Linked DNA regions of Ovis aries. The protein of the gene in region 2 binds, or shares a complex with, the protein of the main gene of each other region. Links are inferred from orthologs where the notes say so. Each region holds a gene or a part of one and is shown on either strand. Other genes may lie near its edges.

Region 1 (4,409 bases), on a different chromosome or scaffold from region 2:
TGGGCCCAGGCGGAGCACCGAGGTCACACAGTTCCTCAACTCTGCCACTTCTTCCCTACACAGACTCCCGCCATCCCTGAGTTTGCCTACTTGTCCCCAACCCCAGCCTCACCCCAAGCTCTCTGCTTAACCTACAGTGCTTCCCATCCACTTGGCAACCAAACACTGCCCTTCCTCCAAGATCCGGCTTCAGGCTTCCTCTAGTATCTCCTGGTACATCTCCCATCACCCACCTCTGCCTGGGCCAGGCCCCATAAAGGGCACCAAGCAGTCTAGCTCCTGCTGCTGGTGAATCTGTTCTGTGCGGTTTTTTTTTTTTCTCCCTCACTGGCTTCCTTGGTGGCTAAGATGGTAAAGAATCTGCCTGCAATGTGCAAGACACAGGTTTGATCCCTGGGTTGAGAAAATCCACTAGAGAAGGAAATGGCTACCCACTCCAGTATTTTTTCCTGGAGAATTACATGGACAGAAGAGCCTAGAAAGCTACAGTCCATGGGGTCTCAAAAAGTCGGACACAACTGAGCGACTAACACTTTCACTTTACGGCTTCCCTGGTGGCTCAGTGGTAAAGAATCTACTTGCAAAGCAGGAGACCCAGGAGACTGCGGTTTCATCCCTGGAGAAGGGAATGGCAATCCACTCCTATATTCTTGCCTGGAAAATTCCACGGACAGAGACTTGTGGGCTATATAGTTCATGGGGTCGCAGAGTCGGATACGACCGAGTACACACGCTCGCTAACGCGCGCATCAACAAATCAATTCCTGAAAGGTAAGGGCTTGACTGAAACTAAGGAGCTACTTCCGGTATGCACCCACACCCACAGTCAGCCCAGCCTGGTGCCACACACCCAGCAACTCCACAAGTCCACTTCACTGAACCTGGCATTCAATCCCCGCCCAAGGCTGCCCTTCCATCTGGTTTTCTAATGCTTTTCCCAATACCCTCTGTCTAGCTACTTCTCCAACCCGTCTCCACTTGCCACTTAAAATCCTCCCAGACTCAGCTTCAAAAAGTGCCCCCAAGGTGGCACTTTTTTCCTGCTCAGATCTAACCAACTACTTCTTCTCTACACACACCTGGAGCACCTGGAACACGATTCTCCTACCCCCTCCCCATCCCCTGCTGTGAGCACCTTGAGGAAAGGACCTGAGGTCTGTTTATCCTTGCCCTCACAACTCTCCTTCAGTCCCCGTTGGGGCCCGGCTGCCGAGCACTAAATCTGCATGGGATGAACAGAATAGAGACAGGATGCACAACTGTTCTAAATCCAAGAGACACCCCTTAAATGCTCTTGAACGCACCCACTAAGGGACAGATCTCTTGGCTCTCAATGTCCCCGAAAAGGAGCTGACTCTCGGGATGGGTTAACAGAAGGCAGCGGGCACCCGCAAGCAGGCTGAGCCGTCCCAGGGCGTCACATGATTCTCCAATCACATGATCCCTAGAAATGGGGGGTTGGGGAGAGAGAGGAAGGAGGGAGGGGAGTGAATTGAGTAGGAAAAGAAACACAGGATCCCAGGTTGGCCCCGCCTTTACGTCGACGAGTAGCCAATGGGAGTGCGACATTCCGGACACCTGACCAATGGAAATTGAAGTGGGTGGGCCATCGAGCCGAGTGGCCCAAGTGGATGAGCTGCCTGACCGCTGCTACCCAGCGATCGCGGACCCCGACGCAGGTAAGGAGGGTGGACTTCGCTTGCTCCTTCTTAGGGGCCCAGCCTGGGGGACGTGGGAGATGGGGCTCCTCTGGAGTTTCAGCGGTGATACAAAAAAAAAGATTCTCTTATAGAAACTCCGATGCACTGGAGGGAGTTTTATGGGTGGTGGGAGTAAACAGTAATTGCAGTGACCCCCATTAGAAGGGGCTCTCTCTCCAGCACCCCTGGAGGCTGCAGCCCCTTCTCCCAAAGCAGAGATCACTCTGTTCTTGAGTCGACTCCGCCCCCGTCGGCAGGTGCTGGTAGTGGTGCTGGTGGGCAGTCCCCGCTGCGCCTGGCAGCAAGCGAGGCACCCGCCCCTGGCCCCCGAGCTCAGAGGGCTGGGAGTAGGGCTTGTGATCCTGGTCTCCTCAAAGACAGTAGGGACTTGGGAGTGGTGATTGAACCCCTGGGATGTGTCTGACTCTCTCTAACTTCCTCTCGTGGGGCTAACTTCCGCCTCCCCCGGCCACTTTTTCTTGCTCTCTCCGCTGTTGGGTTGGCTCACCTTTTGGGAAATCTTTCTCCTGGCACTCGAAGTGGGGGGCTGCCATCTAGTGGAAGATGACGGAGCTGGGGACTTGAAGAGGCAGTGTCCTCCCTCTCTGTAGTGGCAGTGTCGGGTTGGGGTGCCACCACTTGGAACCCTACTGAGATGAACTGGGTTCCCTCTTCCCCATTCTGGTTCTGAGTGTGTGTGTGCGCGCGTACATATATGTGTATTCAGTAGAAGCGTACACTACTTCCAAACCCCAGGATACCCAGGAAGAAGGATGTACCTAAATGAATCACTAGGGTGCTGAGTAGTCAGAGATGTGTGCAGACAGGCATCCCTCCTGGCCAGGGCAGGCCAGCGAGTCTGCAGGGTTATGATTGGACTCCTAAAAAGCAGGGCGGCCAGCTCCCTTTCCAGGGAGCTGTGGGCATTGGGGAAGAGAGTGAAAGGGGCCAAGGTCCAGGACCAGTCTTCTTCAGCCTCTCCTGTACAGGAGATAGCCTCCAGGGGGTGGTCTTTGAGTTGGGGAGAGGGCGGTGAGGAAAGCCAGGTGAGGGAGAGAGGATGTGAGTGACCCTGTGTGTGCTATTCTCTGCCACACAAAGTGTGCAGTGTCCACCCATAGACTGACTGAGAACTGAGGCCTAAAGACAGGAAGCAACTTCTGAGGCCTTCATTCTAGCACTCATGTGCAGTATCCAGGCAGCCCCTGTACCCCACATTTCTGTCTGGGTCCAGTCTACTTGCCCAGAGAAACATTTCTATCCCTCTTCTCTGCTTGGACACCAGGCTTCTATCCTCCTTGGGTTTGGGGGGCCTGTCCCAGGCACTGTCCGTGGTACCACTTGTGAACCCAGGTCCAATATACTCTGGAGCCATCAGAGCCTGTCATCTCTATGTTTTGATATTTGACATAGGCGGGTTACTTCCTATCTCTAAGCCTCAGTTTCCTCCTTAGAAAAGTAAAGGTAATAATTCCTACTTTGCATGGTTGTTACAGAAAAAAAAAAAAAAGAAAATATGTAGAATGTTGTCACTGGCTTCTAACTGGTTCAGCACACATGACTGTTTTGGCCCCTCTAGACAGGGTAAGATCTTCTGGGCCTGCCCCATTGAACTAGCAGGGCTGGCTGAGCTTGGGGGAAGAGTTGTTCAGGAAGTGAAAGGCCACTCCCCTTCAGAGAATGAGGCTTGCTTCCTTCTGCTGATGTGGATGGCAGCCTGGTGGGCACACATGGGCTCTCTACATGCAGCTGGGTTTCTGCTCCAGGATAGGGAGAGGTGGAGGGGAAGGGTGGTGGGAATGTTTGAGGATCCTGAAAGGGCCTGGTGTGGGACTTCCCTGGCAGTCTGGTGGTTAAGACTCCAAGCTCCCAATGTAGGGGGCATGGGTTCAATCCCTGATCAGGGAACTAAGAACCAACATGCTGCATGGGCATGGCCCCCCAATTTTTTTAATTAAAAAATTTTTAAAAGAAAGGTCCTGGTTGTATTGGGGGCCCATGGAGCACAGGTGACCCAAAGGTTGACCAAGCCTATGCGTCTCCTTTGGATGGGGAGGGGACAGTCAGCAGGCAGGTGGTGGCTGGCCTTTGGGGAAGGCAGCCCAGACTCCGTCAACATCATGCTTCCTTTTTCACAACTTTCTCAACCCCGTGGTTGATCATGTCATCATGTGACCTCCCCTCCCCTGCCAGCAGGCCTTAGCAGAGGGCAGGTGTGAACACAGCATTGGGTGAAGAGGCAACTGGAGGCACTGGCTCGGGAAGTGAAACCCTGGCTTTCCTTCAAGGGGAGACTTCAGTTCTTTCTTCCTAGGGCAACTGATGTCTTTCCCACCCCCATGGAGGTGGCTTACCTCCCCACAGCTCAGGCCCACAAAACCCACAGATCTTCCGGACTCTCACATACCCACATCTGCACACACTCAGCCACAGAGATTCAACTGTTAGGCCATGCACTGGGGACACAGATTCACTCACGTACGCATGCCAGCATTCATGCTCATGGATGTACACTCGCTGGTGCACGTGTGACCCCCGCACAGGACACACGTAGGAAGCTGAGCCTCAAGCCCCGCATCTTCTTGCCCGGACAGGCTGTTGTTGTGGAGGCTCAGATGGTCCTGGGCCTTCGGCAGGGGGCAGTGACTGGTCCCAGAATCAAGGGTGGCCTCAGCTTAAGCCAGTTGCCAAATGCTTCTTGGCACTTTG
Region 2 (3,810 bases):
CTGCATATCTGAGGTTATTGATAGTTCTCCCAGCAATCTGGATTTCAGCTTGTGTTTCATCCAGCCCAGCATTTTGCATGATGTACTCTGCATTTAAGTTAAATAAGCAGGGTGACAATATACAGTTTTGACATACTCCTTTCCTGGTTTGGAACCAGTCTGTTGTTCCATGTCCAGTTCTAACTGTTGCCTCTTGACCTGCAATTTGTGCTAACAGTTTGTGTTATACTAAATTGCTGAATGAACACAGAGTGGTCAGATGGGCCAGTGATTAGTTAGGAGTCATGATGGCAGCTATGAGACTTCAGCAACTCTACAGAAAGCCATTAACCAGCCATTCATGAGCAGTGCAAAGCTGTATTGGCCAGAAACAAATGGAGGAGAACTTGGCCTCTCTTCCCATCCACCAGCGCTCCACATGGCCTGTGGATGTAGGTGGTGACCTGGTCTAACATGTGGATTCAAGAGCTGAGCCCTCTGAGGAAAGGCCACAAACTAGAGGTTCAAAGGCATTGCTGCAGGAGATCCAGGTTCCATGAGTGACAGGTCTTGACAGGAAAGAAAAAAAGCAAGCTTTGTGTCTGATTCTTTTAGAGAATTTGAGAGGAGCTTAGCAGAACCCTGGGAGTTTCCTTTAAAAGTGACAGCATTGGTAATTCCAGGCTCTCTTCTGAGTACCTACCTACAGCTGGTATGTACTCTGCTGTCCTGACTGGGCTTTCTGTTTTAAGAGACTCAACCAGTGGGAGATAAATGTACCCACACCATTCCCATCACACTCTCTCCCTTGTGTTTCTTCATGACTATTGTGGAGTCTCTCCCCTCCTGCTCCCCTTCCCACCCCTCCACCCTAGCCTTGCCCTGCTCCTGCCCTTCCCACCTCAGGCACAGGCACAGGCACAGTGGCCTCCTTACTTACCTTGCCACCCTCATGCTGCTGTGCCTCTCTCTCCCTAGCACTCTTTGTGGCTCTCTTTTGCCCATGATCTGGTGAATGAAGGTCCTCTCCTCCCCTGGCAGGTTCTCTTCTGCCTTTTCATTGTTGTTGCCCATTTCACTGTCGTTGTCACCGACCCACCCCTTGTAACTCTGCTGCTCCCTGAACACCCTGCATGTGCCTCTAGCCCATGTTATTCCTGGGGAGGGCGTCCCTGTCTCCCCTCCCCCCAGTTCATTAGGGTTAGTGGAAATCCTGACCGTCCTTCAGTTCAGTTCAGTTACTCAGTCATGTCCAACTCTTTATGACCTCATGGACTGCAGCACCCCAGGCCTCCCTGTCCATTACCAACTCCCAGAGTTTACCCAAACTCATGTCCATTGAGTTGGTGATGCCATCCAACCATCTCATCCTCTGTCGTCCCTTTCTCCTCCTGCCCTCAATCTTTCCCAGCATCAGGGTCTTTTCAAATGAGCCAGCTCTTCTCATCAGGTGGCCAAAGTATTGGAGTTTCAGTTTCAACATCAGTCCTTCAGTGAACACTCAGGACTGATCTCCTTTAGGATGGACTGGTTAGTTAGAACTAATCATTGCTCTTCATTTCATCAGCAGTTTACATGAAGCTTTTTTTACTTCAATAAAATTGCACATGGCATAAAATTAACATTTTAACCAATTTGAACCTCTTTGTTTACTTGTTTATTTTTTGTAATTTTCTTGGCAACACCCTGTGGCATGTGGGACCTTAGTTCCCTGACCAGGGATCAAACCCTTACTCCCTGCATTGGAAGGTAGGGTCTTAACCACTGGACCACCGGGGAAGTCTCCCGAACCTCTTTTAAAGCATCCTTTAAAGGATTGCCATCCTGCTTTATAACTCAACTAATTTCTAAGAAATGTTTCTTAAAGACAGGACTGGGTCTTATTTCAAATCACCACATCTTGTTCAGTATCTGAAATACGGCAGGCAGTCATCAAGTTGGGAAGCCTCTCATTTTCTTTAGAGAAATGTCTTGTCAAGTCCTTTGCCCATTTTTAATGTGGGTTATTTGTTTTTTTTGTTGTTATTGAATTATAGGCTCAGTGGGATATTCTTGCTTCTTAAATGCATAATGCATTTAATAATAATTTAATAATCACATTTATAGAGAAAGAAAGTAGAGTGGTGTCAGGGTCTGGGAATACCAGGGTCTGGGAAAGGGGGAATAGGCAGTTATGGTTTAATGGACACAGAAGTTTCAGTTTTGCAAGACGTGGAAGTCTCAGAGATGAATTATGGTGATGGCTGCACAACAGTGTGAATGTCCTTAACGCTACTGAACTGCACCCTTTAAAATGTAAATTTTATGGTATGTTATTTTAACCACAATTTTAAAAAGAAGAGTATCCCACTGAAGTCTGGGTTATTAAGTTAAAAAGCCTTATTATTAGAAGACTCTGTGAGATGAATAAAAAAATTTACACCTTTGGTTTTAATGTACGCTTTGGTTTCTTTCCACAGTGCAGCCTTCATATCCATGCTTCCTATAGCATCTCTCAGAAACTAAACGTTCCAATGGCCCCACTGTCAGAGCCTAATGCTGTTGGCATAGTCATTGCCCATGGTAAGCAGCCCTCCCTCACCTCTGTGGGAAGAACTAGTTGAGCACATTGAAGCTCAGTCATAGCATTGAACCCTGTAAGAAAACCACCATCCGTGGCTTTTACCACCCTTTGCAGAATTTCTTGCAAGATAAACCCAAGAATTTCTTGGGTTTTTCATGGACTCCTATCAGAGAGCAGCAGCATGACCTCTTCCTTTACCAAACTGTTGTGGCCTATTTTTTTTCTTCCAAGAGGCCTGATGGGAAATAATCTGAATAAACTCATTCAGAATTCTTGTGACAGTGAATCCTCTCTGTTTCACTGCTGATGTGTGCTGATGAGATGGTGGGCTGTGTTGTAGGTAGCGTGGGAGATGCCATCTCCGTGATGGTCCCAGATGTGTACATCTCAGATGACGGGGGTTACTCCTGGATGAAGATGCTGGAAGGACCCCACTATTACACCATCCTGGATTCTGGAGGCATCATCGTAGCCATTGAGCACAGCAGCCATCCGATCAATGTGATTAAGTATGCATGAGCTCAGCTCCACCCACACTGTCTGCCCAGAGGGCTACCCCGGGATGTTTTTCAGTTTGTGGGGAAGTTCTGGACCCTGATTCAGATTTAGGCATTCTGCAGAGCTGCAGGGGAGGTGCTTGAAGGGGTTGCATTAAGAGCAACTCAAATTAAATGGCTTTGTGTTTTTCCTCTGACTCTGCTAGCTAACATTTTTAATCACTTAAAAAAAAATGTTCTTCTTTCTTCCCACAAGAATATTATGGATGCATTGAAGCACTCTGGATGGGAAATGACTCCTTAAATACAAGTTCTTATTGTATAATTTCTGTTTATTGATTCAGAAGCCCATTCTTATATGGGTCACTATTCTTTCTTGCCCTTGGAAGAATTTTTATAAATGCGTTTTCTTCCATACTGTTTGAGTGAATCCCGTTTCCTTGTGAACTGCAGGCATTAGAAATTAATATAGTTGTCAGTCGGTAAGCCGTCACCTAAATATGAGAGTTCTCTGATTTGGGATGGAAACAGCTGGAGCAGTTTCCTGATACTCCGGTAAACGCTGGTCCTTTGTCACGGTCTCCCTCTAACTGTGGTTTCAGGTTCTCCACAGACGAGGGCCAGTGCTGGCAAACCTACACGTTTACCAGGGAGCCTATCTACTTTACGGGCCTGGCTTCAGAGCCTGGAGCCAGGTCCATGAACATCAGCATCTGGGGCTTCACAGAGTCCTTCCTGGCTCGCCAGTGGGTCTCCTACACCGTCGACTTT

Evidence for each region.
Region 1: the proteins of SORT1 (region 2) and GRN are in contact, whole or in part, in a crystal structure (PDB 8T8S), measured with the Homo sapiens proteins. The link is inferred for Ovis aries from reciprocal best matches to the Homo sapiens genes SORT1 and GRN. Residues at the interface, in NP_002950.3 of Homo sapiens: Leu108, Gly110, Ser111, Val112, Ser113, Leu114, Ile174, Gly175, Pro176, Lys260, Tyr304, Ser305, Phe306, Gly307, Leu308, Phe314, Ala315, Ser316, Arg325, Ile327, Phe350, Tyr351, Ser352, Ile353, Leu354, Tyr395, Thr398, Gly399, Thr402, Phe404; in NP_002078.1 of Homo sapiens: Pro578, Arg579, Trp580, Asp581, Ala582, Pro583, Arg585, Arg590, Gln591, Leu592, Leu593.

The regions. Positions count from the first base shown.
Region 1 is NC_056064.1:43,885,660-43,890,068, forward strand, and holds the start of GRN (progranulin), read left to right. Parts: upstream 1-1,603; 5' UTR 1,604-3,284; intron 3,285-4,409. UniProt on the Homo sapiens protein: Secreted protein that acts as a key regulator of lysosomal function and as a growth factor involved in inflammation, wound healing and cell proliferation. Regulates protein trafficking to lysosomes, and also the activity of lysosomal enzymes.
Region 2 is NC_056054.1:86,597,230-86,601,039, reverse strand, and holds part of SORT1 (sortilin), read left to right. Parts: intron 1-2,438; coding exon 2,439-2,541; intron 2,542-2,882; coding exon 2,883-3,051; intron 3,052-3,641; coding exon 3,642-3,810.